4 linked regions of the Drosophila melanogaster genome follow. The protein of the gene in region 2 interacts with the protein of the main gene of each other region in a pairwise test. Each region holds a gene or a part of one and is shown on either strand. Other genes may lie near its edges.

What was found.
Region 1: the proteins of Doc1 (region 2) and CG9106 interact in a two-hybrid assay, tested with the Drosophila melanogaster proteins (one large-scale study listed by BioGRID).
Region 3: the proteins of Doc1 (region 2) and CG5890 interact in a two-hybrid assay, tested with the Drosophila melanogaster proteins (one large-scale study listed by BioGRID).
Region 4: the proteins of Doc1 (region 2) and Poxn interact in a two-hybrid assay, tested with the Drosophila melanogaster proteins (one large-scale study listed by BioGRID).

The regions. Positions count from the first base shown.
Region 1 is NC_004354.4:15,268,844-15,275,838, reverse strand, and holds CG9106 (uncharacterized protein), read left to right. Parts: upstream 1-3,433; 5' UTR 3,434-3,852; intron 3,853-3,924; 5' UTR 3,925-4,008; coding exon 4,009-4,440; 3' UTR 4,441-4,803; downstream 4,804-6,995.
Region 2 is NT_037436.4:9,038,448-9,047,883, forward strand, and holds Doc1 (Dorsocross1), read left to right. Parts: upstream 1-2,927; 5' UTR 2,928-3,092; coding exon 3,093-3,183; intron 3,184-3,381; exon of another isoform or gene 3,382-3,450; intron 3,451-3,585; coding exon 3,586-3,751; intron 3,752-4,940; coding exon 4,941-5,208; intron 5,209-5,276; coding exon 5,277-5,414; intron 5,415-5,897; coding exon 5,898-6,410; 3' UTR 6,411-6,595; downstream 6,596-9,436. Other genes in the region: Argk2 (arginine kinase 2), read left to right, coding at 9,049-9,436.
Region 3 is NT_033777.3:25,852,695-25,861,024, forward strand, and holds the start of CG5890 (uncharacterized protein), read left to right. Parts: upstream 1-3,459; 5' UTR 3,460-4,279; intron 4,280-8,330. Other genes in the region: CG5886 (uncharacterized protein), read left to right, coding at 123-1,050.
Region 4 is NT_033778.4:15,830,465-15,838,816, reverse strand, and holds the start of Poxn (Pox neuro), read left to right. Parts: upstream 1-3,761; 5' UTR 3,762-4,134; intron 4,135-7,303; 5' UTR 7,304-7,773; coding exon 7,774-7,786; intron 7,787-8,352. UniProt on the Drosophila melanogaster protein: Transcriptional regulator that specifies poly-innervated organs (chemosensory bristle). Also controls the number of neurons.

The sequences.
Region 1 (6,995 bases), on a different chromosome or scaffold from region 2:
GCACACATACACATACACGCTTCTGTCAGTCGTTGAAATTGTGTGTGTGTGTGTGTGTGTTTTGACCTCTGGCAAAACTGCATCCAAAAGTCAATCACACAGCCCAGTTTGCAGTTTATGCGTCTTTGGGCACACTCTATTTATTGCTACTGACCATTTTTAAGCATTTTTGTTTTTAATGAAACTAGGTTATGCCTTTTACTAAATAATACAAATACAAATACAAATCTTCTTATCTTCTTCTTATCTTGAAATCTTCTAAATATTTGTCGGATATTCTATTAAAATTATATTTTACCAATTGTATGGTCACACTATATCGCTCACCTTGGTGAATGCAATGCAACACATGTTCACTATGAAGACCAACCAACAAGCAAAATAGATCACAGATATGTAAACACTTACTCATAAAACGTAAAGTTACAAATATAATGTCAGATAAGTGCGTATTATAACATTTTCTATAGCTGCATATGACGATGCCACTGTTGGCAATCGAATGTAAATACTTTTGAGCAGATTGCCAGCTAAGAATGAATTCAACCAAGTTGACAAGTTAATGCTCGGCATTTTGACGGTTTTCACTACGGCATCACCTGCTTCGGGCAAAAGCCAACGCCAATACCGCCCATCAAGCCACGAATATCGTGAATATTTAAAGGGCAGGCTTCAATATTTCAGCATCGCTCAACCTTGACAGCATTATGAACTGAGTGCGACTGCAAGTGGGTAGCGAGTGGGATGGTAGGTGGCAGGTTGCAGGCTGGTGGCTGGTGGCATGTGGCACAGTTGGGTGGCAGGTGGCAATATGAAACGCTTGGATGGCGCAGAGCAGTGCAGCGTCGGATGCTGGAGTCAAACCAGGCGTGTAACCGAGGCAATGGAGGCGATACTCCTTCCACGTACTCAATTTGGCCCCTTGGGTGCGACTGCTGGTGCAACTGTCAAATCTTTCATGAAGATATAACCAAAGACCCTAGAATAACAAGATGCGTAACGCCATACGATTTTTTGGCACACGATTTTTTGGCCGTGGCTCTAGAGGTGGCTCCAGGCTCTCTCGAATTTTTGGTAGAGAGCGAGAGAGCGAAGAGCGCTACAGCGAACAGCTCTTTTCAACGCACAAAGTGATAGCAGACATCTGTATGTGTGCACACGTATTCACATGCATTGTAAATTTGAAAAAATATGCCCTTCACCTTAGAAGTTCTTTGGCTTTAAATCTATATTATTTTTGATCAATTGGCACCATGCGAAAAATTCTTGTTTTGCATTGCCTTAACGTTATTATTATTTGAAAATAGATTAGAAATACTCAAATCTATGTACATATTATCACAAAAATAAATTTCAAAAATGACTTTATATAAGAATATTTGTCATTAGAGTATTCATCTTGCGGCGTGTGAAAAATTAATAAGGTAATGATTGTTGAGTGCTTGTGTCCGCACTTCGTGCCTCAAGATATGAACAAAGCAAAGACACTAGAATAATTCTATTGTCTTTGATATTACTTTTGCAATTTCATTTAATTGCATATTTAATTATTTAGTATATTTATTAAATCATTTGACTTAATATGATGTAACATTAACATTAAAAGTGTTTCAAAAAAAATATTTAGCTTTTAAAAAATTGTCAGATGAGAGAAAAATTAGAATTAAACATAAATATAAATGTGTAAACGGTAGCTAATTCGAGCGGCAATTTTAACAAACAAATTTAAAAAGCTTTAAAATTATAATAGTCAGGGCGCGAATTTTAAAAAATTTTTTTATTTTATCATATTGCTAGGAAATTGGCAAAAACTACCCTAATATGTACCATGTAAATTCGTTTCTTCGATCAGAATTGATTTCGGCCCGAAAATCGTCTTCTAGCACAACACGCACACTTATACGCGTTCTCGTCTCTTGTTTTTACTCACACAAGCAAGCAAATTATATTTTTAGGTTTCTTACGCTCTCAGCGGGAGTGAGCGGAAAGAGAGTAATTTTGGCCGTCACCAAAAAAGTGGCTGCATAGTGCCAAACCAATGTATGGCCGTTACGCATCTTGTTATTCTAGTGTCTTTGATATAACTCACTGCCGGTCCAATGAGTCGTCGTCTCATTGTGAACCGGATCCGGATGTGGATACAGCTATGGCCACGTTGACAAAATTGGGCTGCAACGCATCTCAAAACGAATGGTAAGCTTACCCACCCATTGTTGGCCAAAAACAGCACGTAATGGTGTATTAATTAAACTTCGACCCTTCGCCCTTATCGCTTTTTGGCAATGCCATGACACAAGTGTGGAAAATTGCTGTGTTTCACATACATAAGTTCAATGAGTAAGCAAAATGCCTCTAAATACGAAAAGCATATATTGAATGACCAAAAAGCAGCTGAAAAGATTACCCATCGAATTCTGAAGACTTATTTTATTACATGGTTGCTGTGTAAAAGTTTTCGCTTTGTGTGGCTATGCAGTGGTAAAAATTTACTTCTTTTCGGATGTCAGCATACTATCTTGGTTTCATTTCGATTCTGAAGAGCTGGAGAGCAGAAGTCATTGCTCCAGGACGAGGTTAGCTATCAATCAGGGTTTAAGAATTAAAGTCGTCGTGGGGAAACCGGGGTAAAACTCGCTGCTCGACAATCATTTACCGAACAGCTTTTGGCTTTCACTTTTCACACATACCGCAATTAATTTCCGTTTGATTGTTTGTCTCTGTCCGGACTCCACATTCAAAGCCCCACCCGGAATCCTATTTGCTTTCCACACGGCGAATGCGATTTAATTGCTTTGGGACCCCTGCTCCCGCGACTTAAACTCAGCTCTGGTGCTTTTACTTTGCTTTTCCTCTCGCCCACACCCGCACTTTTCCCACACTTTTCCCACACTTTTCCCATACTTTTCCTGCACTTTTCCCGCATTGCACCTGCAATCGTAAATAAAGAGCTAAGCGTGAACATGAAGGTGAGGAATTGCAGCTGCAAATCGGAAGAGGAGGAGGCTGCCGTGTCAACAACTTTGCCGTGAAAGTTTTATTTGTTCAGTTCATTTGGTGCTGCTGGCAGAAGCAAAACATTATATGGCACATTCATAAACACCCGTGTTGCCGGGCGATGTCAAAAAATTGTGAATGGTATGGGGATTTTCTGAGGAAAACACTAAAAAAAAAAATCCTTGAAAACTTTGTTTGCCTTTTTGCACTTAAATAGTACACTTACTGCACTTACTTTAAAGTCTAACTTAGAATGTGCAGTGTCATGAATTAATGAAATAGCCATAAGAATTATTAATTTACCAAAATCTTGAATATTCGCGATATTTGTGTCTCTCATTTCATCGTCGAAACAAAATGTACCAGCTGGCTTTGAAAAGAATGCCAGATTAATGTCATGGCTCATTTCATAAGTTAAAATCATCTAGGTAGTCAACACACACAATCGACACAAAATACACACACACCGTTTAAACAAAAGTGAAAAAAAATAGAGGAAAATCGAAAAAAAAAAGAATCAAACAGCGAAACAAAAATCATAACTTGGTATTGTATCTAGCTAATTAGAGAGTTGCACTAGAATCGCGTGCGACTTGAACGTCGAGAAGTGTATAACAGATCCCTAAGCAGCACATCACTGCACCAGAGTCTCATTGGATCGCACCGAGCAAAGTACAAAATTCGTAGGTTCAAAGTTCAAAGTTTACGGTTTCCGAAGGACTAACCGAGAATCCAACCACGGACCATCCCGTCCAGAAGGCCAAAGGTAGCAACCAGCAACGAAGCTTCAGTATTGAGCCACTTTGATAACTGCTTCCAATCCGATTTCTTTTCCACTTTTGATAGTTTTATATTCAGGTGAGTTAATTATCACTTATAATATAAGTATTGTTGTTAAATATATATAAGAAATACTTTTCGGCTTACTAGATCCAAATAATTATAAATACACTCAGTTAATTGGCTGCATTCGATATTTGCCTCATAGATATCCCGAACCGCTGCCCTTCCAGGATGGTCATCAATCTGAATCCGTCCACCTCTTCGAACGCCAATGCCAGCGGTAGCAGCGTGGGTGGCGGCAGCGGTGGCGGCAGCGACGGTGGCAACGGCGATGGAATGAGCAGCGCTGGGAGCCAGAGCGGCAACATCATTGGCGGAAACGGAAGCGGAAGCGGAAACGGTAACGGTAACGGTGATGGTAACGGTAGTGGCAACACCGCCGGAAACGTCAGTAGCGGCACCCCCAGCAACCTGATGGGCATCATCAGCCATGAGATGTTCGATGGTATCGTCTATCTGCATGTGGTATGTGCCGGTGAGTCAAGCTCCAAGTGGGTCACTCTGGAGGAGGCGATGGCCTACTGTCCCAGCGGCGTTGTTGCCTACACCAAACTGCAGCTGGCCGAGATTTATGGCATACCGATGGACGTTCTGTTCGACTGATGGTGATGCATAAACCAGATTCTTCGTTGAAGCGATTGCAGTGTACCGCACATGGACGATGGTTTTGATGGATTCTTGATTAGCTCCGTTTGGCTTGTACGGTTTATAAGCTGGACCATGGCAACTGTCATTTGAACTTTGGCACTGTTGGCAAAATCTAGGAATTCAGTATTCGCCAAATACGTGGCATTGGCAATATAACGTCGATTGTTTTTTCTTGCTACATTCCCTGCTCTAAATTTTAAGTTCCTGGCGTTAAGTGATTTTTCCGAAGGCAGCAATTACTAGAAATAGTATACGAATCTGCAAGGTTATTCCGTAATTAATTGCAAAAAATAAAAAAAAATAATAATAAAATAAAGGAAATTTATAAAGAAATCTCTATGGACAGTATGGGTGCCATTTACCTTGGTCACTGGCCGCTTCACGTGCCCCTGTGGCATTTGTCAGTCGACTCGGAATGCGGGGGTGGAAGATGAATGGACTGAGCGGAAGTTTAAGGAGCCTTTGCCACGCAGACACCACACGGCGTATGCGTAATGCGGCCAGCCCACAGAATTTGGGCATTTCAATTGCAAATTAGCCAAAAGCCAACGTCAACGGTCACCACGCCCACACCGACAGCCGCCCCCTTTTGAAGTGCGTCTCGACTTTTCTTTACCATTATTTTTCCCTCTTCTGCGAGTGTGTGTGTGTGCGTGGCAATTTGAATGATTTATGTTGATTGCGTATAATTGCATGTTGTGTCCTTGTCCGCCCCTTTGTGCCCAGGTGCGTTTGCCGGCCACGTGACAAATTCAAATCCCCGTCACCGCTTTACACTCCCTTTTCGCTCGCTTGGTCGGTCGGTCGGTTGGTTGGTTGGTTGGTTGGTTGGTCTTGTCTCGGCTTTTCCATTTCCCATTTCCGCCCCACCACTTTGCCGCTATTCCTAACCTCAGACATTCTGCGGCGCATTGTTGTTGCCGCTTTTATGACGCTCCATCTGTCAGCGGCTTGTTGGTTGTTCAGTTGGCTGGCTGGCTGGCTGGTGACACCGTGCCAGGACACGGCAAGGAGCTGGGGCATGGATAAACAGGACCCATATCCAGGCTGGCTGCTTATCTAATTACGCGCCCAAAAGCACGCAACACAAAAATGCCAAGCAAGTCGAGCGAGGCAACGACGACGACCAACTTGTCTTTTGCGGCACGACGCTTCATTTTTCTAATGCCATTCGCTGGCGGCGGGAATCGGTGGAAAAGCGGAAAATGCGGTGGGTCAGGATCTGTGTGTGGAGCATGGCTGACTTTTGCCAAATGGCAGGCGCTCGCGCATTTATTTCGCTTGTAAACGAGCGCAATTTGCAATTTGAGCGCGTCCGCCTCGCGTGTACCTTCCCTACTTTCTCCCTTGCTTTTATAGCAAAAAAAAAACCAACAATAAAAAAAAAATACAGCCTAAGAGAGGAGTGTACTGTCCGCCCCCTCAGCCATTTGCAATTGAATATTTATTTGCATTGCCATGGGCTTCGTGTCGGGTGTGGCGCAACTAAAAAATTATTACGCATACGCAGCGTTGCCAGCGGGGGAGAAACTATAGCGAATCAAATCGTATGAAAGGTATCTACCTAAGTGTGACCAAAGTGTTTTGGTGCTTTCAAAAATAATTTCGAAGGTTCGCAGGGAATCGTTTTGATTTGAATTAGCAGGAGCCTTAAATGTGCTACAACTACCTTTTTACATCAACTAATTACATTCGTGTAATTATTTTCTCCGTTAAGGCAAACAGTTAAGTGACAACTTTTCACAGCCTGGCCACACTAATTTTGCAAAACTATTGTACAATTGATTCCTTCAATTGCCTGTATGTTGTACATTATCCAAAGTTGTAATTAAATGTGAATGCTTTTTCCAGCTATTCGTTTGCTGATCACACTTTGCAACGAATGCAACGTAATTGTTTCTCCCGAAACTTCCTGTGCCCTGGTCACACCAATTACGTGTCATCCGGCAGCTGGAAATTAGAGGCCAGTTGGAAGTGATGCAGCACCACCACTAAGCCACCCACCCGATGGCCGATGCAAAAGGCAAGCTAATAAAATGTACTTTATGCCCGAACGTGCGTTGACTGTAAAATCGGACTGGCAGCAAAAAGGGAGAAAGTGGAGAAAGGGGAGAAAGGGAAGAAAGGGCCATATCTCTTGTTTCGCTCGCATCACGCGGCTGCCTAATTATAATTTTGCATTCTGCTGCCGCATGCAAAATTCATGGACGCGAAAAGTGCGGGGCACGGCTGTCATTCCAATGCTGTCCACCGAATGTAATGTTAGCATAAAAGTTGACAACATCCGGGGTCAGCCTGAGCCGGGGTCAAAGGTTGATCAAGGCGAACACATCAACGTTAAGCGTTTTATGGCCAAAATGTGCGTTCCATTTGAGCAGAGACCACTCCCAGGGTTTTCCCTCGTTTCGTTTCGTTCTTTTTTTTTTTTTTTGTTTTTGCGCTGATTTGCGCAACTTTCAGTGCCACATCCACTTCCGTTGGCTGGCTGCCGTTTCCGTTTTCTGCAAATG
Region 2 (9,436 bases):
TAACTCGTTTAGCATTTAGTTGCAGGCGCCTAACCAGCTAACTTTATCGTGTAGTTTGCATCTTGATGCCCATGCCGTTTTCCCAGGACTATGGATTCTGGACTTGGCCACGCCCTGTCTTATTAGGCGCAGACAGTGTCGTTTATATCATTTATATTATTTTATGACATTTGCCTTTTGTCCGTGGTAAATTATGTGTAACTTGTAGTTTTGGCAGCTCACGATCATCTGATCTTTCGAGCATCCAGGCAGGTGACACACGGGTTTTCGTGGCCACGAACTGGTTAATTAGGGTTGTCCATGATTTATTGATCTGTCGAACTGGGGAAATGTAACCTGTCTCAATGATTATGGACATTTATAAGCTGATGGTCTTTTAATATATGAATATGGCTGGTCATTTTGATGGGCGGGTTATATGTTAATTACCTTTTGCCTAAGAGATTGTGTGGGTTGTTCGAGAGCTTCCGTCCACCCGTATACCCAATCCAAATCCCTTCTCCCCGGCAGCTAATCTTCTCTGGCCCAATCTTATCCAGCACGAACATATGTCGTTGTCAACCTCTGGCAGCTTGACCGCTACCGTTCAGCATCTGCAGATCCAAGGCGGCAGATAGCGGACTCACAAAGATGTCCTCTGGCCGAGGGACTTGGATCGTCTGGCGCCACTTGGCTACTTGAACCGAACAGAGTACCCAGAGCCAGCCACTTGTCGCGTCCTTCTCAGTGCTCTGAAGTACATTTGCTTTATGGAGGAAGGCGCGACGAAGGACAATAGAAAATTATTACTTCAATTGGCGACAGACGACTGTGCTCAGGTACATGCATCTTGAGCAACTAAAGACACCGCCGCCCACGGGACACTTCACACCCAGCAAGGCGAGACACACCGCAAAACGACCTGTCCTGGGAATCCTTGGAATCCAAGGAGCGTGGTCACTTTATGGGCTGTGCCGATGTCGCGTCAACTTATGTGTCTCTGTCTCGATTAGGTTTACTGTCGATCTAGTTTACCATGCACCCGCATGACGCAATTACACCTGATTTATCCGAAGGTCCACCTAGTGTATCTGAACAGAGATCTGCTTGCATCCCACTGTCTTTTGTGTGACATTTCTTTGTCGGTATTTTTGCAGGCGTGAAGCGTTACATTTTCAAATCAAATCTTTTGTTCTAACTGCTGCGATATTTGTATAAAAATATTTTACGATTCTCTGGCGCCGTTCGCTGCCAGAAATCTCCAGTCATCATCATCAGCTGGCCAAGCACCGGAGATATGCCGTCTCGTCCGGATCCGGAGTTGCAGTGGAGACTGGGACATGGGAATGGGCATTACTCGGAAGAGCGTGCCAGGGCGACAGCGAAATGCTAATTTAATAGAGGCTCTTCGACATTGACTTTCTTTCTAGTCCACTGAATGCGAACTCAAGCTTGAAATTATTTGCTGGCGACGAGTCAAGGAAATAAACGCATGTCTGTCGACAGATTTGTCTGATGAATGCACTTATGAGTTGAATCAAGTTCAAGATCAATGGCATTTGAACCAAATTGTATGTAGCTTGTCCTGAAAGAAAATCGATAGATAACTAATCAAATTCTATAATTAGTTCAACTGATTAAAGTAGTAATTAAAGTAAAAGTAATAGTACTAAAAATCGCAAATAAATCTTCACAGAGTTATTGTTTCTATTTTATCCAAATACAAAAATTTGTTCAGACCACAAGAAATAAGGGAAATGATAAAGAACCATTTAAAAATTAAGTTCTATAAAAATGGTGTTTCAAATAAATTGGATTTAAGTTATTCCTTTTTCTTTAAATTACAAATCATTGCATGTTTTCAATTTGCGTTGATGAATAAGTTAAGTTAAGTAAGTAAGTAAGTCTTAATATATTTTAGAATAATATAGCTATTCGTTAACGTATTTCAGTCCAATGTGTTTTAAATGATCAATGGCTCACTAAGTATCAATTATAATACTTCCTGTGAATATAGGAATGTGCATTTCAATCTACTTCCACCCGCAGGCACTTAAGCCCTCAATTTCCAATGCTGACAAGCACTAATCAATAGGCCCTCGAGCCAGAGCCCAAAAACTATATGAATTTCGATTTTCCATTTCTCAGTTTTTTTTTTTTTTGGGCAAATCAATAGCGAGGGCATAGCATATCGAAATTCCAAAACGGGCAATTAACAAAGCCAACAAAATTTATGTTTCACCTGTCTGCAGCAAAGTACATAAATACCCGAGAAATGCCAGACAATGTCGAAGATAGGGAACCCAGCTAATTACACGGGGGCATGGCAAACGACGGAGGGACAGCGCCCAAACGGAAGACGGCTGCAATGGAAATGGCAACGGACATTTTCCGACAGCGCCAAAACCAACAAAAAAACATAAAAACGAAACAGACACACAAGAAAAAAAAAGAATAAACCGAGAGGAGAAGAAAAGGCAACGGCAGCTGAAGACAGCAGACAGGCGCGCTGTGGAAAATCTCACTTCTGAATTACAAGCAACGCCATAGCCCGGCTAAATCCACATCCATATACATACATGCATACATATATCCAAGTCTCCTAACTGACAGTGATCGAGAGGGAGACAGGGAATGCGGCTTGAAGGCAGTGGCGCAGAAAAACACTGCGGCTGATGAAAATCAACAGGGCTAAGCGTTAACTTCGCCACTCGGCTGCACGCAGTTCGCTTTTCCCGCTCCTCCGCTGCTCACAAAATGGCGCCCACCGTCGATCCACCGATCTTCGCCAGAGTGGGACAACACTAGTACCCACATAGCGTAGGCGTCTTCCGCCAGCCAATCACAGGCGCTGCCCACGGAGAACCGGTTTTCCAAGCGTAGCTGCTACCTGCTTGGCATCGGGAAAAACTGGCTGCGACCCACGGCGAGTTAGCACTCGAGCGGAGCTACTCGAGATCAGTTCGTTGCGAAACGTCGAGCGTGAAAGAACCTCAGAGCGCATCTTCAGTTACGAGCGAGTGAATAACAGTGAAGAATTCCAAACTACCAGTTATTATCAGAACGTACTAAGACATTTTACCAAGTGCTATACACCGTGCAAGTGCTTCGAAATGCTTTCCATGCAAGAGCTAATGGATATGCGGATGCAGCAGCAGCTGGCCCACGAGATCTACCGCCAGCAGATCATGCAGCGGATTCCAGGTGCGTTTCTAGACATAAGGTCTATGGGTGTTGATCGAATGCCGTCGGCAAATGGTTTCGCGATTTTCAAACTAAAAAATATGAGAAAATATATGCAACCCAAAAGAGCGTACTTAAAAGTGTTTTAATATTGTGATTATTATTAGTGCTTCGGATTTTATGAGCAATAAATATTCTACTTCAATTTAACTTATCATTATAACTAGAAATTGTGGTCATAACTGCATTGCCTTTATTTTCAATCTTTGATTGAACATATCTTAATAGGTATTATATTCCGATAAAATACAATAGATAGCGAAATTCCAGCTAACTTAGAAATATGATTTCTGCAACACCCACCTCCCTGAAGAGGTCCATTGCAAACCCATGCTAATGAACTAACCAAACCGCTTCTTCCAGATCCCTTTCCATCGATGTTACCTTTCAACATGCCCCACCAGCAGCCGCACATGATGCTGCCCAGTCGTCCCACCCTGCCCGGCGTGGAGGCCAAGTTGGAGAACAACGATTTGTGGCAACAGTTCCATAAAATCGGCACCGAGATGATCATCACAAAGAGCGGCCGGTAAGTTTCATTTTCCCGCGAACCCATTATCCTATGCAAATAGCCCGAGTTTTTCCAAAAGTCAAGTGCGTCGCACGGCCTATGTAAATATTTGCTCCTGTACCAGGGCCAACTTTCCCAATTCCTATCTCATACGAGTACGAGTATGCCTATACCCTGAACCTTTCGATTTCCCGGGCCTAATGTGGCGCCTGGCCATAACTCAAAACGCAGCAGGAGCTCTCGCTCGGAGTGACAACAAGTGCAGTGTAGTCGGCGGAGGAGAACACAAGAGCAAGACGCCGCCCTGGCGCCGGTCCGATCATAAAAATCTTTCTTCTCTCGGTTTCGGCGTTGACAATCGGGTTTGGTCGATCTACCTGCGCTTTTCACACTTTGCCCACAATACCACCATACCATACCATACCATACCATTCCATGCCCTGTCCGTGACCCTTCTCCAAAGCGATGAGACCAGACCCTAGCGTATCTCAGATAGGGGAACTATCGAACAGCGACTACCGAGCGGGAGCCGAGACAAATTTACATAATTATGATCTGAACTCGAAGTTTAAGTTGCAAATGTACACGGAAAGAAATCGTGCAACTACAAGCATTATTTTTGGCCAAGGCTTAGAATATGGCTGGGCATCATAGAAATCAAGAGATCTTGAACATAAATATATATTTGTTATATATATATATATTTCGTAATATTTTATTGAAAATGATTAATATCCAGTAGAAATATTATTTTTCTGTGCTGTTTAATCCGCGATAACAGTCACTTTCTCGGCTCATTAGACATGCATTCGACGCTTGGAAGCCGTTAGGGCGACTCCCAGATTTTGTCTAATTGCTTGGCGCCAGATTGCCCCAGCTCCTCCAGCACTCTGTTGCTCCCCGTGCTCCTCCATGAACCAACGATCCACACAATTAATCATGTGCCGTTGGCATATTGTTTTGGGCTGGCAAGATCTGTTTGCGTTACCTTTTAAATCGATGCGTTGCGCTACGCAGACTCCCCGCTGCCCTCTACTTTTCGGTCCATAATTACACACTTGTTAGCCGGGGCAACAAATCACAGGCGATATGAAGTAAAATAGAATAGATGCCCGGGCGACGCCTTCTTTTGCGATGCTCCTTCCCTGATTTATATGCAGTTCGTGGCAGGCCACTTAATCAAGTCCTATTCTTTTCATCCTTACAGACGCATGTTCCCCTCGATGCGAGTTTCCCTCAGCGGACTGGAGGAGGAGGCCAGCTATTGCGTACTCCTCGAGATGGTGCCCATTGGCGATTGCCGCTACAAGTTCTCCGGTTCCCAGTGGGTTCCGGCCGGAGGAGCCGAGCCCCAGAGTCCGCAGCGCATGTATCTGCATCCGGACAGTCCGGCGACCGGTGCCCATTGGCAATCCCAGGCATTGCTCTTCAACAAGGTCAAACTGACCAACAATACACTGGACAGCAGCGGACATGTAAGTTTGAGTGAGCTCATAGTGTATCTTTTGAATGGGTTACTTATAGTTTCCATTAACATTTCCAGATCGTTTTGGCCAGCATGCATAAGTACCAGCCACGCCTGCACATCATCCGCAGCAGCGAGCTCACCCAACTTCCATGGGCTCCTCAGCAGGCGTTCGTTTTCCCGGAGACGGAGTTCGTAGCTGTCACAGCCTATCAGGTGGGTTAAAGACAACATCCTTTCCGTCCTCCATTGAGGACATGTCTGACAGGACAAAGACTCTGCGGGGGTCGTCGCCTAATTGAGGCATTTTCAAATTTGTCGCCTAGCCAGCCACTTGAGTTTGATCCTAACGAGGATCACAGTGGAACTTTTCAAGTGCCCTCCCAGCCGACGGCTACTTACTGACGCCTCGTAGTTTAAATTTCGACCAGACAAAAACAATAGAGATCGTTTTTCATACTATTTAAATTAGATTTAAAACTACGCGTTTTTTTACATATTTATTTAATCTGCAAATCTTTTTTATAAGGCCGTAAATTTATTTATTGTTCCTTTTTACGATCTAATTGAAAATTCAAGTGTTAAAAGTAATACATTTAGAGCTAATTCGTTTTAAGAATTCATTGTTGTATAAAAACTGATAGTAATTAATCATTTATGTGCTTAAATTAATTTATAAATTTGTTCTCATGCTTGCAGAACGATCGCATCACCAAATTGAAGATCGATAACAATCCGTTCGCTAAGGGTTTCCGCGAGTCGGGTCAATCCCGCTGCAAAAGGAAGCTGAACAGCAGCGGAAACTCGACGCTGGAGTCGGAGGATGATGGCTCCAGTGTGAGCAGCTGCGATTCTCCGCAGGCGAAGCGCCAGCGCCAGGATTTTGAGCAGGACTCAACGGGTAGTGTTTCGCCAGCTTACTATGGAGCAACTCATCCAGTTGCCAATCCTATGTCGCCGTATCTCCGCCATCACTTGAGCTATGGACCCAGTGGAGCTGCCGGATTGCCGCCCAGCATTGCAGCTGCCTATTTTGGTGGAGTTCCTCCGCAGATTCTGCCAATGCCACCAGCCACATATGCGCCAACTGTCGCGCCTGTTAGTCCTGTGGCCTCGCAACCCGTTGGCTCCAGCACACCCACAACATCACCAAGGCCTTCAACCTCAACGAAAAGAAATAGCTTCAGCATTTCAGCCATTTTGGCCTATTGAAAGAAATATTTGGTAAACATACTTAAGTTGGAGTCATCTTCTGTTGTGATTAGTGAGAAACGTGTGCATATACTTTGTAAGCTAATCTATGCTACATATAAGATCGTTTAAGAACCAAGCTGCAATCATATACATTGTTAATTCGTTTTAAGAGTCTTTGGTCAAAATAAACAAATCAGACATCGAATCCGTAGAAAATGCAAAACTATTTGCGGGGGGGGGGGGAGCAACGGTAACCTTCAGCGTTTCCGTTTTTACAGGTTTTTGGCCATATCGCAGTGCCTGGGCCAAAAGCAGTTATGCGACCGCTTTGGCGGGCCTAAGACAAATTAATGCTCTCCATTATGGTGACCAGTCGGTTCTCGAGTCACACGTATCTGAAAAACATCCAACTCCGGTAGTAGTTAAAGCAATTCTCCAAAGATAAGGCGTCCATTATGAGCAGCGATTTGACGGCTTTCAGGCTGTTTGGTCTTTGCCGACTCCCAGCTCCCCTGCGATTCCATCCGCATCCCTGGGACACAGAGATGACGCAGAGGTGGGTGCACGGAGAAAAAAAAGTATCACACATTTCAATTCAACTAAGTAAGTTTTGGCTTATGGTATTGCTAATAGAAATGGTTTTTAAAGTAAATTTAAAGAAAGAAAAATTCAACATTCATCTGATCATTTCAAAATCGAAGCACTTTTCTTGCAGTGCACTTGCTGCTGTTGCCGTCTTGTGAAATTTTCGTTTTATCGCACCTTTTATGGCCATTGGCCAGGCCAAAACGAAGTGGGAGCTGGCCAAGAAACCGAAACAGAAACCGATGCCGAGTCGGTTGGAGAGACTTTGGTGTGGTCACTCCTTGTGTGCATTATCGTGTCAAATGCGACAAATCTGTCTGTGGCCCGGCGGCTGCCTTTCAGCTTGCATAATTGAGCTGATAACTCGGCGCTCCGTGGATGTGTGCGGTCCACTTTTGAGCGTTTCCTAAACGGTGGCGCCAAACATTTCGTGTTTAATATTTTTAATTAAGTTTTTAAGTGCATCCAGAAGGAGATGGGACCACAGAGAATTTATCTAGCCAGTCGTTGCGGATAGTTCAAAGGGGCAACGAATCGATTTGGCTTCCATTCATAGAAATCGATGCATATATTATGCATAATGTAAGCCAAATCAGCGCGAAATAATTCACCAGCCACACGAAGCCGCGTTTCAAGCGGCTTTTTGACTAATTTGGGCTTAGTTTTGTATTAGCGCTTTGTGTTTCTCCTCGTCTTCGATTGGATTTGTTGGTGCATAAATTTACATTTGAAATGCTGAAACAATTAAATTATGGGATTTGCACGTTTTCACCCAAAAACAAAAGGGGCCAAAACAACATCAAATCACATTCGTTGTCGGCGTCTGTGCCTCAGAAGTGTTTTTTTTTTTTAATGTTAGGTGTTTTTTTGCTGACTCGCTGCTGGCTTCTTTTTGAAAAAACGGTGGCAAAAAGCGTCAAAATTCGTAGATTATGAGATAAAAATGGAAATCGAAGTCGCTCCGGTATTGCATTTCTAATTTGCGCTTGTTTTAATATACTTAATGAATTTTTATGTGTAGGTTGGTCCAATACTCATGCCCAAATCCAAATCCGGTTTTCGTTCGAAGCTGTTGATAATGATAATGAGGATAACGATGCTTTATTGAGGAGGTGTTGCCGTTCGGATCTGAATTTTATTTGCGCCACATGTTAGCATATTGTTGTTGCCGCTGCCGCTTTTGTTGTTCTTTATTGCTAATTATAATATATTTGATTTGGTATTTAAGCTTTAAGCTATAAAAATGTTCGCATTCTCTGTTTTACGAGCCAACAGCTTGCAAATATTCAATTAAATTGTGCGAACGAGAACAGGTCGAGGTGGATTGTGAAAACTAATCATAATTAACACACCTTTTTCTATAATGTTCTAAGTATTTTATTGAAATAAAAAAAGTCAAAAGGAAATAAAACATAGTTTTTGGTTTTGATGGCTTCTACACCCGTATTAAACATATTATATAATTACATTAGTAATATATATCTTAGAAAGTCTACATTTAAACAGAAGAACTGAGTGTTTTAAAACCAGTATTTGAGCTACCAATTTTCGATGGGTTTTGTATACATTTCTTAAGCATTTCCCTGTATTTTACATATTTTACGCATTATTTTACACATAATATTTTACATTTGCCATGTATTTTACAATGGTTTGGAGCCGTGCTATATGAGTACACTATCAAACAAAATTGTTTCTTAAATGCATTATTGTATTTTTAAAAACCATTAAGTGAATATCATATAACGGTTCTTTAAAAAAGTATCAATGAAAATGATTTCTTTACTTTAGCGCAAAACCATAGTTGTGAAAACAATTTTTAAATCCATGAGGAACTCAAGTATATCAAAATTTACTTTATACTTTATTTATTTCAAATTTACTTGTACATAGATTGAGTCTTTGCTTAGCAATCTCCTTTCCGATATCTATTAAAGTGGAGTTTTCAACCGTCTGTTTTTTGTTCGTACTAAATGGCGTTTTACTAGATTTATTCTAGCCATTTGGTTTAATGTCACTTTCTAACTTAGGGTCAGCCTGGCCGGTGTCATTCCAAATTCAACACCTAAAAATGCTGTTACATTTAAAACTCCGGCTTGAACTTCAATTACTAGGCCGCTGTGCGCAGCTAGTAATCAATCGCCATGCCAGCAAAGGAAATGTGGACAAGGAGGTGATGGAGCAAATGGAGAAGGGCTACAAGAAGTTGGCCGAGTCGAAATCCAAGTCCCTGCTGAAGAAGCATCTCACCAAGGAGATCTTCGAGAAGCTAAAGACGAAGACTACACCCTCGTTCAACTCCACACTGCTGCACTGCATCAGTTCGGGAATGTGCAATCATGACTCCGGCGTTGGGCTCTACGCCCCCGATCCGGAGGCATATAAGGTGTTTGCCGATCTCTTTGATCCCGTCATCGAGGAATACCATAAGTGCTTCAAGAAGACGGACAAACAGCCGG
Region 3 (8,330 bases), on a different chromosome or scaffold from region 2:
TTGATTGAGGACAGCTGAGTGGCTAGCATATAATTCATATTACTCGGTTTGCTCTTCACTTGATATGATTTAGTCAAAGCTTAATCCACACGAAAAATATCTAAACTCCACATTTCTTTCAGGGAAAACCAGATTGGCCTGGAGAAACTGATGCAAGCGCAACGTGCCATAAAGGATCTCACCGATCGGGAGCACCAACTGAAGGAGCAACTGAACATATACACCGCCAAGTACGATGACTTCCAGCAGTCGCTGCAGAAGTCCAATGAGGTTTTCGGCAGCTACAAGGTGGAGCTTGAGAAGATGTCCAAGCACACTAAGAAGATCGAGAAGGAGGCGCTGGGCTGGCGGCAAAAGTACGAGAAAGCTAATGCCATGGTGATCGATTTAGCCACAGAAAAGAGTCTGCAGACGCAGCACTCAGAGCGCCTGCAGAAGCAAATACAGCAGCTGCAGAAGCTACTGCGTGCTCTACAGCTGGAGAGGACAACACTGCACAAGTGCCTGCGGGATCACGAGATCGAAATACCCGCCCTGCCGCAGTTGCCTCCTGAACCAGAGCCAGTAAACGTCAAGCCAGTTAGTGCTGAAAATGTTAAAATGGAAATGATGTCTCGCAATTGTGCGGAACTGAAGCAAACATTGGCAAATCTGCAGAACCAAATGAAGCTGCTAACGACGAATGAATCGAAGACTTCCATTGAGGAAAAGAAGAAGGCCGAGGAGCAGCGTCAGGCGAACAATGCCAAGAAGAATATACGCAAGAAGGAGAAAAAGTCCAAGGCAAAGGCAGCAGCTGCAGCGGCGGCGGAAGCTGCAGCATCCACAACGAACGGTGAGGCGAACGGCGTTCAGGAATCAGCCGCAACGGAGTCAAAGGCCGAGCTAGAGGCAGCGGGTGATGCCTCAAACGTTAAGAACGAAAAGGAGCAGACCGTTGACATTGCGACAGACACCCAGGAGCTCGTAGGTGATGGCGACGCTATCACCGCAAAGTCACTTGTTGATATATCCGAAGTGCCTCCCCTAATCGATGCCAATGCCAACTAAACTACTGACTGTTCGCCTATAGTCCCATCTCCAAATCTCGGGCGGCCACCAAGCCTTCCCTGCAAAGCATTTTGTGTCATCCATGTCTCAACTGAAAAACGTCATCAATTACAAACCTACATGGTCCGAATTTTGTACTAGTTATTTATTGTACTTTGTATATTGTATTTATTTAAAGGATGTCGTCGGTGATCGTGTATTGCTGTTCAACAACAAATTGAGTAAAACGTGTTTCCTGCAAACAGAATAAGAATATTAAAATTATTTCTTTGGGTAAATATTTGCAGAATGTCCTTCCAAAAGATTTAAGCATAAATCTTAGCCCACATTTCGCATCAATTTGCATAAGTGGAGTGGAATGGGAAACTGCCAGAGCGCACAAGCTCGATGGCCATGGATTGCTTTCGTCATTGTTGGCGACGCCACAAAGTCTAGTGTTGCATGCAACACATTGCAATGCCAACAGGCGAACGGATGGGGGTGGCTTCAACGGTGGTGATGAGTGGTGAGTGCCTGCGGTTCGTGGCCAGGGTCATTATAATTGCGCCTTAATTATTTTCAACACGCAGCTGTCATTTTTGCCGGGCCCCAGATTTCCGCCATCAAATATTTAAGACGCATGCAACGTGGCGTATGCGTAACGCCAACTGCTGCCAGCGGTCACTCGGTGCGGGCGAGGGTGTTGAAATAAGGCCAGTTAAGTCACTAAAATAATTACACAAATTAATTTAAATTGCATAAAGAGGTGCATACGAAAGAAGGACTAATTATGCCAGCTCTCAAGGCAACAACTGTTTTTACCCCTTTTTTCACAGCATGTTTTATGTACTGTACCCTATATTGTTAGGTCCCCGAGCGTTCTTCCATGGTCATTAGAAATTTAATTAAAAATTTTGATATTGTTAGGAGTATAGGGAATTCTATTTATTTCAAGCTTCTTCCGCCCGATTGCCCATTAAGCGGTATTAAAACTGTCTTCCCCTCGGTGCCAAAGTGTCATACTTGTGCATATTTCACACCCTCGCTCGCATTCACAGAAATGTGTGCACATTTCGCAGGCAATGAGCTTTTGAACATTTAATGAGTTAATACGCTAAATTTGAAAGCCGCTCAAGCGTGCGCCAAGTGCTTCAAACACTTGTCCCCATCCCCGAGCTGCCCATTTTCCAGCTTGAATAATGAGAATGGGGGTATCAAGCCGCTAAATCCAGCACTGAAAAATTTTTCATCAACTTAATAGAAATGTGTTTATTTTTTAATAATATACATTTAGTTTGTAAGATATGTGAAATAAAATAATTTCGAGTTATTTATGAGAATTATATACGAATAAAAGATCAAAAAAATAAAACTAAATTTTTCTCAGTGTACGCACACACGCATATGCAAAACACTAAGCACTTGTCATTTGGCTGTAAACCCTACGCGTCCGTTCGTTGGTATAAAAAAAACAGTGCAAATGTCCAACAGACGAGCATATGTACATACATATGTACACTATAGGTATGTGCGATGTATGTACATATGTACATATGTGCGAAATGGAGGATTGGTTGGCTGTCGTGGCGTCGTATTCATCCTGAACTCATGGGTGTCATTTCTCAGGACCCTCGCGGTCTGCAGGATAACAGCAGCGTAACAGAAGAAGACCCTCACTGGGGACCAGGACCAGAAAAGTAGAGGCTGCCAGACTGCCTCACTTTTGGCGTTCAAGTGAAAGGACGAAGTCGCCGACACTGGTGTGGCAATACTTTTGGCAGCCAATTGTGCGGGCTGAGCAAGATGAATGAGGAATATGAGTGTTGCTTGCACAGTGGGCTACTTTCAAGGGTGTTGGAAGATTCATAACTATCTTAAAGATGCTTTCAGCAGTACTTCTTATGTGCGAGATATAAATTCAACAATTTCTAGATTTTGTAAATAAATATTTCCTTCTCTTATCCAAAATCATTTATAATAAAATAATAATTATTTTATTATAATATACAATATAATAATAGTTGTCATGAATTTAAATGTCACAAACAGGCTGTCTTTCATTAGTAACATATTTTAAAAATTACTCATACGCCACGTTGTCAGTCAAGTAAATATATTTGCCATTTAAAACAGCTCTTCCAATATTATTACAATTCAAACTAATTATATGCGTTATGTGGCTACTTAGTCCACTGTAACCGCCGAGGGCTATGCTATACCCTATGTGCCGCCCGCAACCCAAGTGAGTGCGCACCCACTCTCCGGCGAACTCGCTCTCCGTCTCCGGCGGAGTGGCTCCGGATATTTCGGCAACAGAAGCCTGGCTGCGATAGCCGGAGATTTTCCGAGCGAGGGAAAACCGAATGCCGAAGCGTCGCTGCTGGCAAACATTTTCCATTTTCGCAGTCCTGTAATCAGTTGTGTATAGGACACTCGCGTGCGCGCGTCGAACGGTTTCTGGCTTTATTTGTGGGAAAAGTGTGTGTCTGACGGCGAAACGGTAAACGGGGAAAACGCTGCGCGGTTTTTGCTGCTATCGAGTTCTTCTTTTGCTGGATTTTATATATGGAAACGATTGTTGCTGCTGTATCATTGCAGCTTGCAGCTTTAAATTTAACTTAAATGCTAAAACATCGTTTTGAAAAGCAACGCGAGAGTTAGACAAACAAGTTGGAGGAAATTTTCCAGCTACAGCTACAGCTGCTGCCTCAGCCAGCGTCGCAGTCGCTGTTCGAGATAAAGGATATGCCCGGATCTAAAAGATACAGTTTTTCCTCTTGTTTCTTTTTCCGCTGCTGCTGCTCGTGCTACATTTGCTGCTTGGCATTTTCCGCACAGCAACAACAATCGTTGAGACAGGACCGCAAGTTTTGCTAAAATGTAACATAACACCAAATAAGCAGAGTTAGGAAGAGTGAGCGCCAAATAATGCAAATAAATGAATAAGCCCAAATCATTAACAAATTAAAACGAGGCACGCAAAGGAGGGCAGGAAAATATAAATATCGAAAGGAGTCAAGTCAAGTGCTTTCGAGGAGCTGTTTGCTGACATGCTTTGAGGTTAATACCACCCACCACCACCCAACCGCCCACTACCACCCATCTCAACCATCAGCCATCACCAACTCCTCCTACCTCCCTCATCTCCGTTTTGGCCAATTTCTCCGTCTGCTTTCGCCGCTTTCTTCGTCAACGCCGCTGCTGCCGCCGCCGCCGCCGCTGCTGCCGTCACCATCAAAAGGCATCGAAGGTAAATATATATGTTATATTTTAGCCGAGTGTGTGTATATAAGTCAATGGGCCAACAAACTAACCTACAAAGTAAACAAAAGCGTTACGCTACAAATGCAAATTTTTCGCACACATGCTCAAGAACTATAAACAACAACTCATTTAACTGACGCCATGCCCCCATAAAAAAACCAAAAACAACGCAGCTTAAGACTAGAAATGAAAAAAAAAAAATGGAAAACAAACAGTGAAAAGGTGGAAATGGCACGGCAAATGAAACACAACAAAGCAAAACGCACGCTTCTAAAGCTATTTGTATAAAATTTTAATCGCATGCGATTTATTTGACTAGGCGCCAAAGTCGCACGCACGCACACCATCGCATTTTCGCAGAGGCACCCACACACACACACACGCAGGCTAGTGAAAATTCACACACTCACCTTGAAAAATGCGAAAAAACAGTCTGGAATATTTTGTTTATTTTTCGCAAAATTATGGAAAATATTTATGGGCTCTATTTGAAGTTTGAGCTGTGCCAGGTTTTTCATTCAATAATTGAGGAAAATAATGAAAATGTTTAAAAAACGCATCAAAGAGTATTTTTGTGAGATTATATTTAAAATTGGATGTGAGGCTTCGATTTACTATTGAAATGTTAATTTTCATATTTATTTAAACAAATAAGAATCTGTGTTTGAAGACGCACCTGGCTGCAATTGTTTACTGTTTACGGCACTGTGAAAATATATTAAATTGTTCATACATATTTTTAACTTTTGGCAGAAGTGTCGACAACTTGTTTATAATTTTCCAAAATAGTGAAGCTTTACATATGTTATTTTTTAGCATTGCGGTAATATATGGGTGAGAATCGAATATACTAACATATTCCTTGAGTATACGATTTGTTTGTTTTATTTTCTTTAACAATATTACAAAATGAATTATTCCCAGAAGTGGTAAAACTCTTTTTACATGGCGTTTAAATTGCGTCATTAAAAATTCCCATTATTCAACCCAATTTCCGTGTCATTTAATCCGTGACAAGCTGTTAAAAGGAAACAAACAAACAAAAGTTGTGCGCAACAATTGATAAGCAACAAAAGCAACTATCGTGCCGCTTGGCAATAAACCATAAAATAAATGCCAATTCCATTTAGATGCACAAGCCGATTAAAAAGTCAACTTGGCATAGTTTTCCAACTCGTGCGACATTGATTCGTGATTGATTTGGTCATATTGTAATCTAATTTCACCGATTTGAAAAGTAACTTCAAGTAGTGTAAATCACATTATGTAATTAATCAAATATATGGAGATTTAATATATATATTTTAAGCGATTTTACACGACAAGGTCCTTGCCAAACTAAATTCGCTGTCATCTATTTATATAATCCCTGGCCAACTATTTTAAGTGCTTCTAGCCGAGAAAAGCTGCATCTGCATCCTAAGAATAAAATGAACTTGGTCGCGGGAAGCTGGATGAAAAACACTTAACGCGCAACTAAGCGACAATTGTTGTTTTGTGTGGCATTTAAAAATAGAATCAAGGTGCGCTCTAGTTTCATTCATCCACACACAGAGACATCCCCACTCACACACACGGCGCACACACAGATACAGGTACAGAGCCTACATAAAAGTGGCTGCTGTTGTTTTGCAAGTGGGTGAATGCGGGGCAAAGGGGCGGTCGCCGGGATGTATGCTACACGAAACTGTAAATAGAAAAGTTATAAATAAAATTCACACGAGCCAACATTGAAAAAATGAACTTGGAAACTGTAAAAAATAAAATAAAATATAATAAAAACCTGGTGAGTGGACGCCATATAATGGCTGATCATTCAAATATTCAATTATTGGAATGAGCATCGATGACAGCACACAAAATAAATATTGGTAGATGATATATGTTAAATTTAAACATTTTGTGCAGCACATCTGGGCACTATTACTTACCGGTTAAAGGTCAAAACACCTTGGCCTTGGCCAAAAGGAAACTCTAAGGAAAACGCAAAGACACGCAAGGCAATACCAAACGAGAACCGCAGCTGTGAGCTGCAAAGTGATTCAACGCTTTTCGGCTATAAAGTGCCTAATCACTTTGGGTGTTAGATGTGTGGGCCATTCAATGACACTGGTAATTACTGGCCCAATCGAATGATATTGTCTTGGCCTAAGTGAGTAATGAGCAAAGGGCGTGACAATCGCCAAACGTCCAGACCTCGTTGAATAATTAAGCCTGTTCAAACGAACTGACTTTCAGTTAAGTAACTTGCACCAAAGGCCACACAAGTATCAAGTTACCAAAGAATATTATAATAAAATACCAAAAGTGTTGTTCGCATTTAACTTTTTTTAAGTGAAACCATACATTTGCGTTAAATATTATTGTGTTATATTTTCTTCGTACATAATATAACCACGAACCATTTAAAGGGCTTTAAATATGTATATGTAAGCATTTTATGCCACCAAAGGCAACCGCAAGCCATTCCCAGCGTGAACATCAATTTGCTAGCATTTGGCGACCATTAATGGTCAACTTATCGTGGAAAAAAATACTCCTCCTCCCATGGTTAAAGCCATAAAACATGCGTGTGCAGGCATCGGGTGTGCTACATACACACATATGCAACAGCTAGGAAAAAAAGGAATCGTTTAGCTTTCAAACAGCAACAAACTTGAAATTTATATAGCCAACCGCCAGATGTGTCTATAAAACTTGCACATCCCCATTCATCCCATACGAACATTCATTTTACGGAGGTTTTTCCAATTTTTTTCTTTCTTTGTTTCCCTCTTATATTTTTATCACCAGCTGATAAGAGCAAAGTTTGTCCGAAAGTTAGCGCCTGTAGCCGTAACACACATACGCCATGTGTTACAAACATCCGATGGAAAGCAAGAAAGAAAAGAACGAAACGAAACGAAATTACCCGCAATTTCAGAAAAGTTAAATGTCTTTGCAGCCGAGCATTTTGGTAACATTTTTTAATTGCCCCACTGGGGGATGGGCGGAAATCCACATTTACAAGCGAACATATGTTGGTAACATGCAATTAACAAGCCAAGTCCAAGCACTCTGCTGATGAGTAGATAGCTCGTGCAGGTCTCGACTATCACATACCCGGTATTTCTCTATCTATAAAAACAAAATGATTCCATTCTTGAAACAAATCTTTTTTTCGTATAACCATACTATAATAAACATTCCTTCCATAGTTAAATCATACACTAGGTTTTTTGAAGTAGCCTATTAAAAAGAGTGGCAACAACTATGCTCAGCCACCCACGCGGACCACTTACAGGCATTAATTACTATGTCGGGCCTGCCAAGTCAGCAACGAGCCACGAAAAGTTGAAGGACCAACTGGAAAAAAATATTGCATACTTTTCGGAATTTTCCCCCCAATTTGGGCAGTTTCCACGCTTTTCACTTTCTCTCTCTGTTTTCTGACAAGTTGTATGAGTTGCGAGAGTTGAATGTTTCTTTTTATTGCCATTGCCATTGTTTTTGTTGCTCTTGTGGCCCGTTGTTCTTGTTTTTGGCAACATTTTTATATTATTTGGTCGGTATATTGTTCTTGTAGATTTTCATGTCCATGGCGAACAACAAATGTTGAGGAAGAAGAAAAAAAGTTTGTTATGTAGTGGATTTTTCGCAGAACAACGTTAAGTTGAGAAAACAAATTCCCAAATATGTAATTGGTTTTTGAGTGCGGCGGGTAACTATAGTTCTGAATATTCGTAATGTTTTAAGAGTTGGCAAGTAGAAGTATCTAAAAATGAATCACAAAAATTTCGACTACTTTTTGACAAGTTTAACGGATATAAGGAGACAAATTATGCCACTTCTAAGCAATTATGTTGTGTAAGCCAATTTAACTTGTTTCGATCGAATTTGACTTGTCCTTGGCGGAAATAAATTAAGTCAGCTCATAAATTAAACCAATCCTGGCAAGACTCGCGGCTCATACACCCACGCAGCAATAAGTTCATGAACATATCTCGGCATATTTATAGCTTTGCCAAAGCCCGCTAAGCTTTTGCCATTTTGGCCAA
Region 4 (8,352 bases), on a different chromosome or scaffold from region 2:
TCCCAGTTTTCCGTTTTCATTTTTATGGCACTCGAAAATCGCGTGCCCTTTTGTCCACCTACACGTCGTCCTTTTGGATGGGGTCAGAAATTACTGCTGGTTGTGCGACTCCTGGAAAAGGTACATTATCCTTAGATCATTTTTATCTTATCGTTTGTCGGCAAGTGCTTACGAAATTGCCCGATTGTTTTTCGGTTTCGTTTTGGGCCACGCGCCTCCTTGAAGCAAGGTGCAACAGGATCGGAGAATGCGAGGATTCGGGGATTCGGGAATTGGGATTCAGGAGGCGAGGCTGCAATGCAACCTGCCCGACTGCATCCATCATCGCGTGGCAGCAATGCTCATGATTTGAGGCACATGCGTAACCTGCGCCAATTTGGCGACCCGCACACACACTGAAATCGCCTTTGTCTTTATATATATAAATATCTGTTCCTTTTTTTTTTTTGTTTATGTCCCTTCTTCGGACAATTTTCGGGACTTGGCTTGCATCTGCTGATTGCAAGGAACGGGTGCCCCGAAGCGAACCCTCAATTAGGCCGCCCCTGCAATTAGAAAATATATTCCATACCAGGCTCCGTTTTTTTTTACCCACTCAGCGTCTTAAAGAAATGCAAAAAGAAAAAAAATAGCAGCAGCTAATTTGCCGCCGGTTTGGGGCAACTAATTTCATATTAGATGGGCGCCCACGCTACAAAATCGCAGTTTTTGCTCGTTTCCCAGGCGCATTCCTGCGGACACCGCTCATTAATGACCATGAAATCTAGACTCTGCCCCGGAGTCATTCCCGCAGACTGACCTCCAGGCACGAGCCGCCCAGAAATACGGCTAACAGCTAACAAATCGGGAGCAGCTTCTGTTCACCTCGTTTTTTTTCTTCTTAGCATGCCACCTAATGATTCGGTGGCACGCATCTTGGAATGCGACGCCTTTGGCTGGATGGGTTTTGGGTTTTGGCCATAATTTGATTAGGCAAAAAGTTGATGTGGGTGTCAGTCCGTCTAGCAGCCTCTCTTTCAGCTTCCCTCATTCCGTCGAAAACCGGACCCAAATCATACCACAACTCGAACTGGATTCCATTTCAATTACAATATAAGCGAGTGTAAGTTCTGCGATTGCGATCGCATTTGGGCGCATGGTAAACCAAGTCAATCGGAAGAAGTTAAGCCGATTGTCCCGCCCCTTTTCATTACAGCTCGTTTTTTGCACCCCCTGGCAGCCGCCTAATAAAACCGGAGCAAACCCACTTCCGTTGCTCATTTGAATGCCCTTTGATGGAGGGTATGATGAAATATTGCATAGACTGGTAACCTAAACTTTTTACTTTAGAAACAGTCATGAAAAATGTATCTATAATGTATTTAATGTTCCAAAACGTACCAAATTTATATAGCTATTTGTCTTTAATTAGATGGTCAGATCATTATTTAATACATATATAATTAGATTTCATGTTTGGATGGATTAACGTTTAAATTATTATAGTTACATTATTATTTTTAAATTAATTTTTTTTTAATTTAGTGAAAGCTATGCATTTTAGAGATCTGTTTGCAACGAAACGAGCTTGATCTATTTGAATTATAGGGTACTTTCTCTTCGAGTTGTATCCTTTAACAGTTTTTTACAGCCCAGCTAAACGCACTTCCCACACAGATTTGTGTGTGTGCGCCTTAATTGGGGCGTAGTTGGCTTTTTGGGCGCGCCGACCCGGAGTTTGGGTAATTGCTGCCACTTGAAAGGCTCCGGGTCGCATAATCGCCTTGTCAGATAGGGCAAGACACACGTTGAAGGACCCGCGGAGGGGGTGGCCCATGAACAAGCATACTGGGCGTTGGGCGTGGCCAGTTGGGTGGGCCAGTGGACTGAAGGACCAAAGGACTCTGTGCCAAAAGAGACAGAGAGGTGTGTGTTGATGCCACCACGCACGGTTGACTCGCTTGATCTTATTACGCCGCGCTTGGTTGCCTGGGAAAAGTCAGAGGCAGCTGCTCGGATAGCTCGGATGGCTGGTAAATGGCAAATGGTTACCGGCAACCCGGCCTTTGTGACAGTTTTATCTCTGGCCAGCAGAAGCTATTGCCAAGCTCTTGCCATCCTCCTGCCATGGGAAAGCCATCGCGCTGAGTGGGCCTAAGAATTTTGCATGTTTTCGCACAGGTTTTTGTGGTTTTTGGTAGCAAGTGGATTTGCATACGCCACGCGGCTCCAAAAAACGGGTTAGGCTTTAGCCAGTCTTGGTGGATCAGGAGTTCCCCCTGCTAGGGACCATTGATTTCCTAGTCATGGCAACTAATTTCCATTCATCATGTTCGGTACCTCGAATGGATCAATAATCCGGACTCCTCCCTTGGAACAATCACAAACAATGTGACAGCTTTATCTTTCAGCACCAGTCGCCGTCGCAGTGAAAATCCATTTCCAATTGTGAATGCCGAGCGACAATTGTCGAATTCAATTAACGCCTGCGGCACCACCGAGCGTTACTTAACGCCGACACCCACCCAACGACCTCCGCCTCCTGCCGCTCCTCCTACTCCTCCTCCTCCTCCTCTCCCCCGGGAGTTTCCAGCGGGTGGGCAAGGACGAGCCGTAGCTGTGGCCGTAGCTGTGGCTGTTTCGCCAGGGTAACGGCTATGCAGTGTCACAATGCGGATGTGGATGTGGATGGGGTCCTTGGAGTGGGCGAGATACATACACTATCAGTTTCTATGAACCACACGATGCAGGACGTGGGCGGGGGGCGGGAGTGAGAGCGTTTGCGTGCTGCGTTGCCTCCGCCGATTGGCCGGAACGCGGCTGCAACGGCAACGCATCGGCTGCGGAAACGGCCACGGATAAGGCTACGCTCTGCCGCAACGCTCTCTGGCCGGAACTCGCCGACCATCCACACCAAATTCTACTACCCCCAGAGCGTTCACAGAGCGAAGGCGGGCTGCACGGACGTCATGCAATCGCACAGTGGAGCAAAAGTTGCAAGCTGGATTGTACTGAACTTGCTCGGTTTTTGCTCATAACATTAAGTTTGTGTACCAAGTTAGAAAAACAATTTTGACACTAAACTATTAGTTTCAAATCAGGTGGCTCATTCTTAACATTTCAAAGTAGCTTTAATGTAAAAGGTCATGGTATCATGCTTCTATAAGGTTTCCTTTCTTCCCAAATATATTACAATGTAATCCTAAAAAGTTTTGAACTCTTAAATCACAAAGATAGTTTAGTTAGCTGCACTTGAGTATCATCACAATTTTTACTACTAACCAACTAATCAACTAACCAGATTAGCAATGTTTATCTACAAAGGTAACTGCGTATTAGTCACTCTCTGAATATAGTGGCTTTACGTAATTACCCCTAATTTCAATGCGGTTTTCTATGCTGTTGAAATCGACCTAGCCCACTAGCCTCTAGCTTCACACTTGACCCACTGTGCCCGTGTCGATTTCGCTCCCGGAGGACGTGTCACCTGGCCCCCACCCCTGCTGCCGAATCTGGCCAATGGCAGCTCACCGTCGGCGCAGCGTGCGACGCATGCGCACCGGGCCAGCTCTCTGATTGGCTCTCATTGGCTGGCGGTGGGCCAAATGGGGCTGAAACCGACGCGGACGTCGCAGCCGTGAAAAACCGGTTACACCAGAAAAACGGTTCGTCCGTGAGTCCGTGAACGCTTGTGTCAGTGTGTGCGGGCCGCGTATTACGAGTGTGTTAGTGAGCGGCGGCTTTTCGGTGGCGTTTTGGGCCGCTCTGCTTGGCGGCGCTTCAGTAGAAATTGTCGGCTGATGGACCGCGGGCGAGGCACGAAGCCAACTCTCAATTTCCACTGCTACCGCCACTGCCACTGCCACAAAAATTGATCGAATCGATGCGCCGGTCCCGCGATTCGCGTGCAGTTAGTCGAATTTTTGACGGTCGAGTGACAAGGTGCGTCGCGTTCCGAACTCCCAAATAAGAATCATACAGAAGCCATTAGCCGTCGCGCCTCCGAACTGAGTAATCGGCCATTATCCGCGGAATAAGCCACACGGTGCATGCAAAACTCGAGCGGAAAGTGTTGTGCTCAAGTGATCAAAGGATTCGAACCAAGTTGCGGCAAAGTTATTGGATAGCCGGCGAATTCAGTGCTCTAAGTTTAAGGTGAGCACATCTTTTGAATTATATATTTCAAAAGTATAACCATCTAGGAAAGATACTATTCATGGAAGATTATCCGTTTTTGGTCAAGCTTTTATGCTTGCACAACGTTTTTAAATTGAGCTTCACCAAGTTATGTTGAATTGGTAAAGTTTAAGTGTTCATTTGCTATCTAGATTATAAAAAATAGAACATAAAAAGATAAAAAACTAGCAGATTCAAGTATCTGTTATAATATTCCATAGATCGTTTATAACGAATTGTCATTATTATTGGCATAAATTAGTTAGAATACATTTGCTTGGATCTGAAAATAAATTTGAGCTTTTATTTGAATCTGCTTCATTAAATGAAATTAGATGACAACTTTATTAGTTCACTGACAAGTTTTTAGATTGTATATTTTGTTGATTTGGATTTTACGCCAGATGTGCTATCTCGTTTTCTACTCGAGACCAGATAAGCTTAATTGAACTTGGTGAAAAGTGCACACATTGCATTTTGAGTGCAGACACATTCTAATCCGTAATATTATGCCAACACTTGACAAAAGCTAACGACGATGACTTATCGGCGTCTTAATTAAGATCTGGTCGCATCCATCGACCTGCCCATAATGACCACCATAAACGATCGTAATCAATTTGTTTGCGCATAATTTGCTTTCTCAACAACTAAATCATTAAAAATCGAGTCGCTCCCGATCAGGTTGCGGCGTTTTTGAAAGACTTTAATAACGATATTTGCTTATCGAGTTCGACACATCGGTCTCAAGTCCGACCTCGTCCCCCCAGACCCAACGCCCTGCCATCGATCGGCTTATTTCTTAATGAACGACGATCTGATCTAACGGATCGAGTCTGAACGGAACCAAACGGGGCGATCTTCATTCAACCGGCGGCGTTAGTTTCGGCCAAGATTCGATTCCAATAATATTCGAATAATATTCATGTTGTGAATGAAGTGGAAGATGCCACCGGATGGCCTGAATCGAATTTGCAATGCAAAACTACGGCCAATTGAACTTCCGCCGCACCGAGATAACTCATTTAAAGCGGACCAATCGATCGTTGGCCAGACTGCCAACGATCGATGACTGCCTTTTTGGCCAGACTTTAGTTTTCCCACGACCACGGCGAGCGACAAAAGTCAAAAATCGTATGCTAATTAATTCTTTGTCATGCCGTCGTTTCTGGCTGCCATTATGGCCCATTGACTTGTGTGCTTTCTAAGCCAAAGCCCAAGCCACCGGCTTTCGGGGCTTTTGGCCATCGGCAACGAGGCAACGAGCCGTCGGACAACTTACTTAAGCGTGGTCCAGAAAGAGCAAGCTAATCATATTCAAATGGTGAAGCGTACGTTTTATTATAATTTTTTTATTTTAATTAGCGGCTGTTAATGCCCCGCTTGGCTCTGGCTTCGATCGATCCATTGATCTGCGGGGGGGGCAGCAAATGATAAAAAATAAAATCAAGGGAGAGGGTTCCGAAACAGAAGCTCGGCCAACCTGTCGGTTCCACTTTCGGTAATCGCACGAATTTAAATTATTGTATGTTTAACTAATTTCTATCGGTTTTTATGTCTGTTCCGCTTGACATGTGCACGGAGCTAATTGAGACTTACGAGTTGAGGATTGTGGAGAAATCGGTAGCACTTGGGGAAGATACTAATTATACTCGTATATTATCCCCCCTGAAAACCAGAAAGCGGTTCTCGAGAACCCAGATTAGCAACATCCCTATATATATAACTCGCAATTTGGCCTCAAGATCGCATTCAACATTTAAAATTGTAGCCGTTGTGGATCTGGAAAAAACCTTTGCTACGCGTTCACATTTTATAAGGTCTCTTAAAATTAGAGGGGATTTTTTGGTCTCACCAGATACTTTGGATCACTGCTTGTTAGTTAGATTAGATATATTTCCAAAAGTAATACCTCAAATTTAGGTTTTTGTGTTCTGCAAGATACATTTTTCAGCATTCTAAGGATGGATCGTACCCAATAATTGATAATTAACACGTGTAGAAGTGGCAAAGCAAGTGGAATAGTCGCATATTTCTAGGGGTTGCTACTATGTCCGGAACTATTTAGTTTTGACTGCTCACTGGCCTCGATTGGGCCACGAAAAATTCCAGAGAAATGGGCGAGCAGCACGCCAGAGGGGAAATTAACCCTTTCATTGCGGCCAAATTGGATTTGGCCGGAATGTCTATTTCACTTTCTACAAAACCGAGTGGATTTGCAATCCTTATCGCACTGTCGGCCAAATCGTGGCCCCGGGCCAACTGCTAACTTTATGGCCTTAACGGCCAGCACGAGTTTCCCGTTCGCGGTGAGTGGTAACCGAAAAACTGAGACGGAGACTGAGAAGGTCCAAAAAAAACCTAATGAACAACTTAATTTCGAGTTCTTTTTTTCTCGTTCTGTTTGGTGTTTTTTCCGTTTTTTTTTTTTATTTCAAAGGGGGAGTGTGTGGTGCGTGCGGTGGTTCGGTGGCTTAACACGCGCATTTCGGTGGTTTTACGAGCTGAAAAGCGGCAAGGGAGCTGGACGAAGGACTCCCGGGCTCGGCAATTAAATCAAATGTGAATTCCATAATAACATGGCCATGACAAAGTGTGGACCGTCGGCCGGCAGTGGCAGTTACAGTTTTTGATTTATACGGTTCTTCAGCGCGTTTTCATGCCTCTGACAGGCTGGCGACAGGCTCAAATCCTGGCCCAAAAAGCATTAAGTAGAAAAAAAAAAAAAAAATAAAAACAGGAAGCGGAAACCACCGGCCGCAAGTTGGTGGTGCTGAAAGCCCATTTGCATATCTCTTTTGGGCCGGTTGCATATTTAACGAAATGAGCAATTGGCCAAAATTCATTTAATTGTTACCCCTGCCTGGCTAACTCTATACTTAGGAGTACGACTATAGCGACCTGGCCTAGATGGAGGGGGGGGGGGGGACCTTCTCGATAATGGGCCAGCAGTTCACGCTGCGCTCGGAATGTGCCTGATAAGCAGCTAATTTGAGATACTCCCTGGCACTGGGCGCTGGGCAATGGCCAGTGGTAACTGGTCACTGGTCACTGGACATGGCCATTGAGCACATAAACCACTGCACATTAAAACCTTCGGCCGCGTAGTTTTATAAAATAATTAAGTTTTATGTATTTTCCTTACTAGATTTTCACTGGTTTTTGGTTTTGGTCTTGGATCGGATCGGTTCTGGCCGGGCCTGGACGCCGTCCGAATTCGTGGAAGCCGTAAAAAGTCTTCGGGGAGTGGGCCGCCAGCATCATCCAGCATCGAACATCAGTTCGAGCAACGCCATTTGGGCCTGAGACTGAGCATCCTAATAGCCCGGCGACCACGACGACATCCATCAAAGCGTTTTTATGACGTTCTTGCTTGAAATTTGATTAAAATTCAGCGATTAACTAAGCAGCAGCAGCAGCATCAGCAGCAACGGGACGAAAGACAAAAAAATTAAAAGACTTAAGACAAACAACCAACAGCAAATAAACCAAAATACTTTACGGAGGCTAAGCGACTGCGAGCGACTACCGATAGCATCGGATCGTATCGAATCACTTTCGGATTGAATTGGATTGGATTGGCTCGCATTGAATTGAATTGTTGATCACATTTCAGCCATGCCGCATACAGGTGAGTCTCGCTAATGAACTTCAAAAGGAAATTAAACGAAAGCATCAGATGCCATCTCCAGTCGCAGTCCCCCATTTCACGTACTCCCCCCTGAATAACCAAAAACTCGAGATCCCACAAAGAGCCACGGTTATTACTGGCGCACTTTTGCCGCCTGCGTTTATGACCGCGGGTTGATAGGAGGGGAGAAAGGTGGGAAAGAGATTAGCCAAGTCAACAGGGCGGTTGCCAAACTGCGGGTATTTGGCCCAGACGCGTGTGCCCACTGTAAATCTTCCAGACTTTATTCGCTCTATTGGGAGGCTTAGGCGCTTTTAATTCCCACTATAAGCTCCATTTGTCTAGCAAAATTTACTTCCAAATATATGGCTTAACACTAACAGTTTAAGACAATACTTTCTAAGTATCTGTAAAGAAGCTGCTAATCTTGTTAATCTTGTTCAAAGCGAACTTAAAGATGGTTCTTTTCAAAGCCTTTAAATGTATATTAAATGGGTGAGGAGTACGTATTGGGACCAGGCAAAAATATAGTTTATTAATATCTAAAATATATCCTCTTCCTTTCA